Linked DNA regions of Caenorhabditis elegans. The protein of the gene in region 1 interacts with the protein of each later gene in a pairwise test. Each region holds a gene or a part of one and is shown on either strand. Other genes may lie near its edges.

What was found.
Region 2: the proteins of T20F5.4 (region 1) and txbp-3 interact in a two-hybrid assay, tested with the Caenorhabditis elegans proteins (one large-scale study listed by BioGRID).
Region 3: the proteins of T20F5.4 (region 1) and abu-15 interact in a two-hybrid assay, tested with the Caenorhabditis elegans proteins (one large-scale study listed by BioGRID).

The regions. Positions count from the first base shown.
Region 1 is NC_003279.8:3,912,091-3,916,959, reverse strand, and holds T20F5.4 (uncharacterized protein), read left to right. Parts: upstream 1-1,651; 5' UTR 1,652-1,761; coding exon 1,762-1,866; intron 1,867-1,987; coding exon 1,988-2,190; intron 2,191-2,403; coding exon 2,404-2,625; intron 2,626-2,677; coding exon 2,678-2,720; intron 2,721-2,767; coding exon 2,768-2,914; intron 2,915-3,230; coding exon 3,231-3,451; intron 3,452-4,074; coding exon 4,075-4,135; 3' UTR 4,136-4,325; downstream 4,326-4,869. Other genes in the region: T20F5.8 (TPA-induced transmembrane protein), read left to right, coding at 4,489-4,731.
Region 2 is NC_003281.10:5,045,616-5,048,762, reverse strand, and holds txbp-3 (Tax1-binding protein 3 homolog), read left to right. Parts: upstream 1-1,601; 5' UTR 1,602-1,620; coding exon 1,621-1,875; intron 1,876-2,355; coding exon 2,356-2,475; 3' UTR 2,476-2,587; downstream 2,588-3,147. Other genes in the region: vtip-1 (Vha Twelve Interacting Protein), read right to left, coding at 69-153, 202-301, 350-469, 517-639; C45G9.14 (uncharacterized protein), read right to left, coding at 3,110-3,147. UniProt on the Caenorhabditis elegans protein: May regulate a number of protein-protein interactions by competing for PDZ domain binding sites.
Region 3 is NC_003283.11:5,156,994-5,160,548, forward strand, and holds abu-15 (Activated in Blocked Unfolded protein response), read left to right. Parts: upstream 1-1,608; 5' UTR 1,609-1,629; coding exon 1,630-1,854; intron 1,855-1,901; coding exon 1,902-2,843; 3' UTR 2,844-2,914; downstream 2,915-3,555. Other genes in the region: srx-39 (G-protein coupled receptors family 1 profile domain-containing protein), read right to left, coding at 1-192, 237-460, 526-686, 729-767.

The DNA.
Region 1 (4,869 bases):
TGTGGTATCTCGTCATTCAACATTCCTGCAACAATCAGGAGGCAACATTATCGAAATATGAATTATGTCTCGAAAGGACACTCTCTCTCTTAGAATAGGCCGGAGGGGGCTGCTTTCACTTGTTGCCGATGAGAAGGAGAGGAGGCCTTCTTGTTTCCGTGTGTGTGAGTGTGTGTGGCCCAGTCGATCAGCTGCCTGATTCCTCAACTTATCATCATCATATTATCACCCCTTGAACAATACGTTATCATCGTAAAATCCTTTTTCTTTGTTTTATATTTGTCGCATTCCTTCCTTTCGATCTGTGATTTGCATAATTTCAAAAAAGGTTTTTACCTTGTAAATTTCTTCCAACAAATCAGGCTGTGCCTTTAAAGTAACTTGACACACTTACCATCATCACTACATTTGTTCACAGTTTATTTCCTTTTGCAAGGCCGCGAATCGGGTTCTATCCGACTTTTTTATGTTCACAAAGTTCCCTTCTATCTACAGTTGACCTGGATCTTCATTTAAAAAAAATTCTGTTCACACATAATCCATATGCATCATATTTTACTATAGAGAACTATAAAATATATTTGTAACCCAAAAAATAAATTTCTAGATTTAAAAAAAAAATTTTCAGTTGAAGTTTTTGGTAAACTGCCAAATTTTCCAAATTACTTTTTGAGTAATTTCGAGCATTGCAAACTATTTTTTGGTCGACTTTCAAAATAACTAAGTTTGCAGCTTTTTTCTTACTGTAAGTACATAAATTTCCAAGAAATTTGAAATATTTTGCTAGGATATAATTTATTAAATTTATAAGTTAACTTACCCAAAATGCTCAGAAGCAATTTTTTTTGAGAAAAAGCTCCTTTTTTCGAATGGCCTAGTTTTATTTTCCGTGGCCATTAAAAATTAATTTAAACTCAATGAAATCAGGTCTAAATTTTAGCCAAAAAAAATTCCTGAAATTAATACTAATTTCTCATACCGGAAGCATTGCCCATTCACAGTCGGAATGATGCTCATCCAAGCGAATCGAGCAGCAGTTTGCTCAAGTTTTCTGTGTGTGTGCTTCCTTCTTCTTCTTCTTCTAATAATCGACTTATCCGTCTCCTACCGTTTCATCGAATAAACACCCGTTCCCCCTGGTCGCAAGGGGGGTCTCAAGTGGACGAGTGCATATTCATTGACTAACTACTTTTGCCCTTGTACACACACACGCGTACACATGCAATGATTTTCACAAACATTTATTTAAACTTTTAAGATTATCAATTATTTAAAATTTCTACCTATTCACACATAACTTTTGGTTTGCATTTTACCATCCATCATATTTTACAACAAGAAATATTCCATTTGAAAGTACTTATTGAAGAGTTCAATCTACAAAACTTTGAAATTTTTCCAAAAAGCTCAACTCGAAATCCTCAAAACTCTAAAAAAAATGTTCGATATAAATCTATAAGCCTTTAAAATAGAGCGCAATGCTCGGAAAAATTTCAGTTTGAAAATTAATTTCAAATTGTTTTGCTCTAAATTCTTGCCGTCTGAAATTTCTCAGTAAGCACTTTCCAGTGGCATATTTCTCTAAAGTCTGAGAGTAACTTTACTTTTTTCTTGTTAGTCATAAATATAGCAATTTTGAAACCAATTTCAGCACCGAATCTGAGTCGATTGCCACGTGACACCGACTGTGCTCAGATCGGTGGTGGTCCTTCTGGGTACGGTCCACCACCACCAGAAAAGGATTATTATAGCAGGTCACGGATGACCATGAATCATGACGATCGCCTCCGGAATCGGTATGAGGCGTGTCGCAGTGGAATGCAGGAATTGGACATGTTGAGAGCAAAACATACACTTTTGATACAGGTTTGTGCATATTTCACGGGCGAATTTGATTCCTTAGGAGTGCCAAAAGCTGCCTAGGCAGTAGGCAGACGTGTAGGCACGGGACATACTTTTGTGTAAGGCATAAATTAAGTGATTTCAGAACCTTCGCTCACGTCTTCCAATCATTCCTGGAAGTTTAGACGATGTACAGACGCGAGAGAAAAAGACCAGAGACGTGTTTCTGGACAGATTCTCACTTCAATCTGTTGATTCTGGAATCTCATCTCAAAATACTATCAGCTCGACGCGAAGTTCAACACCGGAAGATTTTAAGACTTCAAATCGACATTCAAACATTTATGAGTAAGTAAAAATCACAATTCACCAAATTTTGTATTTCCTGTATTAGTGAAGAGTGTTTCCAGTTTGAAAGGGGACATTATCAGAAATAGTACTGTGGGTATTTTTGGTAAAAAATGCCGCACTTCCCAAAACACAAAAAAAGGTTTTGTAGAAATTGAAATTTGACGGAATTTCGTAGAAAAAGAAAAAAAAGGAAAACTAGTCGGATTACAGGAACAGTTCAACAACAATGAACTACTCAACATTTCGGAAGATGTCACTTGAATCGACGCATAGCAGTGTCTCCCATTCTATGCAGAATGATGTGGAGAAAACTTCCTTCGCACCGCCTGTCATAACTTCTAGAAGTTGTCATCGTGGAGCATGGAAGACATCTCCGCAACGTATCCGTCCCAAGAGCATGTTCGATTCGACTACTTCCAATACAGAGTACTTGTGAGTTTCTTATGCACTGAAACTTTTACAATTCAAAAAAAAAAAATTTCAGATTCTCCAAGCCGCCTCGACATCCGATTGATTTGACAAAAGAGGTAGATCAATAACATATCCATAAATCCATAAATTGTCAAATTTTCAGCGCCGATCAGCGTTCACAGTACTGAATCAATCGTCGAAACGGCATTCGAGTATTGAGCCGTCCTTGCCGAGCACTTTGAGCCAGCTGAGCTTGAATGATGAGGCGAAAACTCCACAGAAAGCAGAAGTCATTCGATGGAATAAACAGGTGATTTTTTGTACTTTGTTAAAATTCGGCCACAGCTCTGAAACTCGGATAGTTTGAAAAAAAATAAAGTAGTCGAACTGTAATTTTTCAGTGGTACTCCTAGAAATTTTGAACAGAAAATTTTAGGCAGCTGCTCTTTAAATTGTATGAGGGGAGGGGGGTAAGATCTGCCGTTTGAACTTATGGACTAGAAGGTTCACCTAGAGAAGTTCGGCCACGGGCATGAAATTGTTTTAGGTGCATTATTCGCCGTTTCACCTGTGAAGCTAGAATTATGATCTAGAAAAAGCTGAAAAAACAACTTCAATTTCTACAGAAAGCCGACGCTATGTTCCGTGCCAACGTTGTTTACGTGTCATCTACCGAGCAGCCAACAAAACCAGCACCACTCCGCTTCTCGCCTGCTCGTTCGCCACCAGTACGGCGTGCTCTTCCCATTGAGCTCAAGCCGACCCAACATTTTGCACAACCTTGTAAAATACGATCGCCCAAACTGAACACGAAGACTGTTTTCGCCGCGAAGCCAATCGCAGTGAGGTTCGTTGAAAATGTTTTACTTTACCAAATATATACTTTTTGGTTGTGAAAACTTACTACCCTTGTATTTTGACATCCAAAAAATAGCGGGAAATTCACTTTTTTGAAAAATTTAACGGCTCATTAATTTTTCTGTCAGACAAGTCCAGAAGATCAGAAAGCTATACTTTTAAAGAATTTCAGACTGTAAGGTCACAAGAGGACCAAAACTTTACAGATACCGTAGTCGCTAGTACGGTAAAATTTTGTAGTTATCATTAAAATAAACGTACAGGTACAAGTTAGTAGGTTTTTCAATTTTTTCTGAATATCCAAAAGCGGAACAATTGATTTTTGATTCGAAAATACAAAACATTTTGGAATTTTTTTGTGTAAAAACTCAGATAATTATTTTTTTCGGTCCTTTCTCTATTTTTTGAAGATGTTTCTTCTTTTTCCTCTATAACTTGAGTTAATTTTTGGCAAATAATAAGTATTTTTGTTGCAAAAAAACATAAAAAATCGAAAAATTTGTTTGCAAAAATCAATAAAGTAAATGCTAAAATCCACCGTAATCGCGGGTGCTGTACATAGCTGGAAAGATTTTCTCACGACAAGACCATAAAAAATGTTCATGATTCCAGACCGAGCATCTCCCCAAAAGTGGCTCAACGTTCAACGTGGCTTCAATCTCAACCATTGTGAATGAAGCACCTCATTCTCATTATTTCAACAAATCTCATCTGCAATCTTAAACGCAAAATTCTTCAAAATCTGAAATCCACGTCATTGTGTAAACGGACCCATTTGTCTCCTCCATTTTTCTTATTGTATAAATGTTTAATCTCTGAACTTATATCGATGATAAAATCAATAAATATTGAAATTCCAGACGAAAACTTTCACTTTACTTTGTATAATAATATCTGCGAAACTGCATACCCCATTCGTTTTTTTTTCATCGTCGTGTCTCACAGTGAATGACTGATTGAAAGAATTCAAGAAAATGCAAATGTATTCTTTTGCCGCACTTTTCATTTTATTTTTGTTCTTGAAGAATGATGGCTGAAAGTGTGCAACCGACAGGTAGAGCTGTCAGGCGGCTTGAGCCACTTGCCATTGAAATTCCTGGTGAGCCGGAGCCCTCCAACTCATACGACGCGTTTTGTGATAGACACTTCTCAGCGGAGAATATGGAAACGAAGACAAAAATCTATATTTCGCTGCTATTAATTCTACCTTCACTGATTTATTTTCTCGTTGTTATCAATTTTCCGAATCCGAAAAGAGTTCATGTTGAGGTGATTTGGAAATTTAAATTTAAATTTGGACGCGGGGCAAGACACATTTTTGGATATGTTTTTTGAATTTTCAGTTAAAATTTGGGAGAATAAACTAAATTTAAACAAAATTTATTTTTATTGTTACACTTTCGCGAA
Region 2 (3,147 bases), on another chromosome or scaffold:
TACTACATTTTAAAACAATTTTCCCATTGACGATACTCCTTCTTTAAATGATTTATTTTAATTCTTACGTCATGATAAAATTGTTTCGATGTCCTGGTTCAGCTTGCTTCACAATATACATATCGCCACTATCAGTGATTGTCATGGAATTTACTAAAAAAAAATATATTTTAAAAAATGTTTTATACCAGAAAAACTTACATAATCCTTCGATAAACGACTCATGAACAACATCTCCATCAAGTGAAATTACTCTTAAAATTGTCGTTCGATCAGAGAATTCAGCTGATGTGTAGATTATCTGTAAATTTGAATAATTAATAACTTAAGTGAAAATAATTTATTGTACCCTGTCTTTGTACGAAATTACTTGTGGAAATGGGGCCATTTTCTTGAAGAATTTCTTGTCTTCGTGCAGAGTTCGGAGAGTTTTTCCGTTGAATTTATATAAACCGCCTTTTGAAGCTACCTGAAAAATGAATAATTTTTAATTGTTGTTGTTTAATTATAATATACCCATATATTGTTGTCTTGGTCGTAAACAACGTTATAAGGAACTCTTGCCCCTCTTGGCTCCAAATGAAGAAGCATTTCATCAAATCGTTGATAATCACTGGTGTCTGACGGTTCTTGGGTCATTTTTATGCTGAAAATTGAAAATTTATTAGATAATTTATCATTATATTTAGCAAAAGAAATGAGAGTCAACGATTAACTAAAAATTTAAGAGTTTTGCGCAAGAGAAGTGTCTAAAAATCAATAAAAAATTTCACCATACCCAGCTCGCTGCGAGACCTCAATCAATAATTTGAATGCACTCCTTTAAAACCACAGTAATCGGCGAAGTGAATTTGAATATTATTAGATTGAACAACATTTTCAAAGTGAATTCACATTTAAAATAAAGTGAAAATAAAGAAGATTTTGGAGTTAAACATGGTTTAAAAGTGGGAAAAATGTTTTAATTTGAACAAAAATGGTTTTTGAAAATAAATCGATTTCTCAAACATATATTGTGGAAATTGGAAAATCTACAGTACCTAGCATTAAAAAACTTCTTTTCCGCTACTGATTTTAGATTTTTAGATATTCTTTTTTCTTGACTATATTGTTTTACATTGAAATAATTCATTATTAATTATTATAATATCTTTAAAAATATGCCTGCAAATAGAAACATGCAAGACTGCAAGATTTGGAAACGTTAAATAAAAAATTGAGGGAAAAAGATTATTCAATACAAGTAAAACCAACTTTCCATGGCCGCAAAAAGCGATGTTTGGTCTTATTTTTTCAATTTCTCTTCCACGGCCACCAATTCAATTATTCTCTTATCGGCAACACTTGTACAAGGTCGCCATCTCAATGACAATCCGAACGGAATTGAGTAAAAATGTATGCAAATTCGGCCATGAGAGTAGGAAGATGAGATAGTGTAAGAAAAATGGAGACCAGAGGGGGTTGAAGACAATGAGTCACACCTCATGTTGTATGTGTGCGTTTCATCTTTGTCCGTGTTCCGACACATTTAAACATTAGTTTTTGAACAAAAAACCTCATTTTCTTTTCAATTTCACTTTTAAATACTTTCCAATTTTCAGATCAAAAAAAAATAATACAATGACAGCATATGGTCATATGCCAGGAGAAGCAATTGAATGTTTGTCAATTGCTGTTGAATTGCACAAACAAGAAGTTATTGATGCTCATGGACAAGTCACAATTCGAGTTGGATTTAAAATTGGTGGAGGAATTGATCAAGATCCAACAAAAGCGCCATTCAAATATCCGGATTCTGGAGTTTATATCACAAACGTCGAATCAGGATCGCCGGCGGATGTGGCTGGATTGAGAAAGCATGATAAGATTCTGCAGGTAATTATGAAATTTTTAAGTTTTCTTTTCCCAGAGACAAATGATCAAACTTTCTTGCCAACATATACATTGTTAATTAAGAGTACTGTAAACTTACTGCCGAATTTTCATCGATCTTGCATAGTTTTTCTCATGAGTTTTTGGAAATTTTTGTGTTGTTATATTTCAAATAAATAAATATACTTTCATCAAAAAACCATGCAAAATCGATGAAAATTCAGCAGAAATGAGAATTTGAAATTACAGTACTCTTCTTAGGCAATATTTTCTCATTCAACATAAATTTGCGTGAATTAAACTGAAGTGAATTAAACATTTGGCCAATTAAAAAATTTTTGGTAGACAAACTCAAGAACGTTCGAACATTAGCTTAACATAAGTTTCCAAAAAATTGAAAACTCCTCAAAATTTTTCTAGATGATATTGAGAACATCCTCTAACAAACGGACACCCCAACTAAATAATATTCTCTATTTTCAGGTCAATGGAGCAGATTTCACAATGATGACTCATGATCGAGCTGTGAAGTTTATCAAACAATCAAAAGTACTTCATATGCTTGTTGCAAGAGCCGATCTTCCTCCTGTCAGTCTTCATTAACTCAATCTCATTTGTTCCGTTCACATTCAAACTTGCCCTTTTCAATTATCTCTCAAACTCAATTCTGCGCATATATTTTGATATTTATCGGGTTCAAAAATAAAAAATTTTACTTTTTTGACGACACAATGCATCATTTGACAAGAAAAATTGGTCATTCGTGTTTGGAAAAATGAACTGAAAATTTCATAATTGCCTGTAAATTTTTATCATACAAAAATGAATTATTTCAATGTAAAAAATAAAGTAAAACAAAAGAAATTATAAATCTGAAATCTGTCGCAATAAATTTGTTAAATTAAAACATTTTTTCCACTTTTAAACTAGTTGGGATATTAAAATCTTTGTTGCTTTCACTTTATTTGAATTGTGTATACACTCTGAAAATGTTTTTAAATCTAAATAATGAATTTCAAATTTACTACAAGGATTACTGTAGTTTAAAAGGAACACACGTGATTTCACTTGATGGATTCTTGGAACAAATTCAATTGTGTAAACACAGAAAAAGTGATGTACTAACAAAATGTAGTATTATATGCAAATGAAACTTGTAGTACATACTAAAGTCTTCTCGAATCATCTCGAAAATAATAAAATAGTATTTTTTAAAACTTTTAAAAACTAGAAACATTCAATTTTTATCAGAACTCTGAAATTCAAAATTAATAT
Region 3 (3,555 bases), on another chromosome or scaffold:
CTTTTGAGTGCTTTTCTGTTTTTGAGCTAATTTTTAACACTTTTCCGATAGCTAAAAAGTCCAAAATAGTACTGGAAATAGTCAATGAAAAAACAAGATAAAAGTCTAAATAAGTTGCATAAAAACGACAAACGTCTCCTCCAGAATAACGAAATGCTCTTGTTTCTTGGTCATAAAAATTTTGACATCCCACTGCAACTCTCCCGTCAATTTTAGTTGACATTAAACTAACCTACAAATTTGAAAAAATAGTGTTATGATTGTAAGTGCGTAGGAATAAATTCCCATTACTATACAAAACGTGAACAAAACACTAAACATCATACGATAAAGCATTGGTTTATACACTGCTAGAATTCTGTTAAGGGATATCATGAAATGAAAAGTTGTTGAAGCACTGTAGCAAATCATAAGAACATATCCACAAACACTCGAATAATTTGATAAAATATCGCTCTCGCTGAATGGAATTTTTATTTTAACTGTTGGCCTCGCTGAATGAAAAAAAAAACTTGTTCAACTTACAAAAATACCATTGGAGTTGCATAGAATAAGTAGAGCGCGGAAAATGTTCCATCAGCAATCGCTAGACCAACAGTTAAAATTGCAAATGGTTTTTGCAACTTTGTAACTTTTATCATTATAATCACAATTGCCCAATTTATTGTAAATCCACAGAGGGAAAACTGAAGGTACATCAATTTGTTTGAGCTACAATAAAATCTTACCAAAAGCATAATTGCAGAGATTGTTGTCACGGAAATCATGATTGTAATTTGCAGCCAACAGGAAATGAAAAAGTTAATGTTATGAATGAGAGAGAAATATCTGGAAAAATTGAAACTTTCTTGTCAGGCTCGAGTCACCTGGGCCGGTGGCGTTCAGCTACAATACAAACATAGTTTCTTTCACATTTCGCATAGATACAATTTATTTTTAAAAAATCCGTTAGGCTATTAACTAAATGTTTTTATACCTAATTTTTTAAACTTTGAAATGTGTTTCAAAGTGAGTTCAAAACTAAAATTTCAAACTCTAGAGATCCCGGAAGCTAGGAAATCCCAGAAGCGAGGCAGCAACCACTGTAGCTCTATACAATCAAATCGAAAAAATGTTCGGGTCTGAAAACCAACTTATGTCATGCATGACAAATCATGTAAATTAAATTAGAGTCGAAATTTGTCGTTCTTACATGTCTACGTGTCTATGTGGTTCATTGATTCTTTTGATTTTCGATTAGCTAGAACGGTTCAAAAATTTAAACAAAATTAAAAGATAAATCTTATAAAAATAGATTGCTTATCGCTGTTTGCCCTTGAAAACTAGTTCTCATGTGCGAACCTTGCGTGAACAAGGTCATAGAGCAAACTCAAACAAGACCTCTCTTCTTTGCTTGCGCAATACTACAATTTATTCCTGTATTAGCTCGGAGTTTTTTAGTGACTCGATAGCTTACTTGAAGCTTTAGGCGAACGCTTTTGCGCGCGGCCGCAAGAGAGAGTCACATTTAGAAGAGGATCAGGAAATTAGGAACTGGAACCGGTTTACTGAGCAGCTGGAAAAGTCATATAAAAGAGAAGAACAGAGCTTCATTACCATCCGATTTCCTCGGTTCGAATCATTATTAAAATGCGCTTTACTTCACTTTCTATTGCGTTCCTTGCATGTGCCCTTGTGGTATCTGGAAGTGCAATCCGTGAAAAGAGACAGTGTGGATGTGCTCAGCCACAGCAGAGCCAATGCTCGTGCCAACAAGTTCAACAGACTCAGTCATGCTCGTGCCAATCTGCTCCAGTTCAACAACAATCCCCATCCTGCTCATGCGCTCAGCCACAACAAACTCAACAAGTTCAGGTACAGTTCATTAACATATTCGCAAACCATTAAATCAAAAATTTTAGGTTCAATCTACTCAATGCGCCCCAGCTTGCCAACAGAGCTGCCAACAGCAATGCCAGGCTTCTCCATCAGTGTCCCAGTGCCAGCCACAATGTCAGCAACAGTGCCAGGCTCAATGCACTCCAATGTACAACCCACCAACCACTACTACCACCACCCAAGCTCCAGTTGTCCAATACCAACAGTGCCAACCAGTATGCCAACAGCAATGTCAATCTACCTGTGTTCAACAACAACAACCAGCAGCTCAATGTCAGCCACAATGCCAACAACAATGCAATGTTGCCTGTGATTCCCCATCCACTACCACCCAGGCCCCACAAGTGATCCAAATCCAACTCGAGATCCAACAAGCTCAAGCTCAATGCCAACCACAGTGCCAGCAACAATGCCAATCTTCATGTGTCCAGCAACAGCAACAATCCAACCAGTGCGAGCCAGCTTGCAACACTCAATGCTCTGATATCTGCCAACAAACTGCTCAGGCTACCCAACAAGTCTACAACCAGAACATGAACCAGAACACCAACACTCAAATGTACAACCCATACAATACCAACACCAACCAGAACGCTAACTGCGCTCCAGCTTGCCAACCAGCCTGCGACAACTCCTGCACTTCCCAGCAGACTCAGCCAATGTACCAACCATACGACACCACCACTGAAGCTCCAGCTCAAGTCATCCAGATTGTTCTCCAGACTTCTGTTGCTCAATCATCCCAATGTGCCCCACAATGCGAACAATCCTGCCAACAGCAATGTGTTCAGCAACAACAGCCAGCTGCCCAGTGCCAAACTGCCTGCCAATCATCATGCTCTAACTCATGCCAAGCTGCTCAACCAGCAACTACTGCCTGCCAGCAGAGCCCACAACAGAGCTCCTGCTCTTGCCAAGCTAACTACTCTCCATGCGGAAATGGACAATGCTGCCGCAGAAAGTAATTTAATTGTTCCTGATTCTTGATTTTTGTATATACCGAAACAATTCAGTTTCAATAAACGCATAACTTTTTAAACCTTCTCGCTTTAAAAATCTGACGTGACATAAAAATAACCAGAATAAACCAGTTGTTTTCGAAACACAACATGTTTATTTAAAAACTGTTAGCGTCTCTTCTTCGACTACATTTTTAGAAAATCTCATAAACATTTGTTCAGTTGGCATTGATACAGGTTTACGTATGTTCTATCTATTTCTGTACTCATTGAAAAATGCTCTCATCAAAGAAATATTTATAGAAAAGTTAGATTTACAAGAATTTTCTAGCTCGCCAGCAGGAGTTTAGAAACTAGAGATTAAAAAAAAAAAGCTCACTGATGAAGTATTTTAAATTCAATTTAGTTTCAAATCGTTTAGGTTCACGACTTTACGTGTTTCACTACCACACTGTTCCTTCATTACGAAAAATGTAATACGACCTTAGAAGTTAAAATTTATTTTAGCTTACAATTAAAATTGCTACATACTTTTTCTGATAATACTTGCGAGTGATAACTTTATAGCGATATATCAAAAATGTTTTCCATTTTCATTAAAATTAGTTTTACTTTTTTAGACAATCTGGTATCTTGATATGCAATACTCGTTACATTATTATTTCAGGCATTCACTTTAATAATATTTCACTGTTTCCGATAGTAATGATTATGCTAG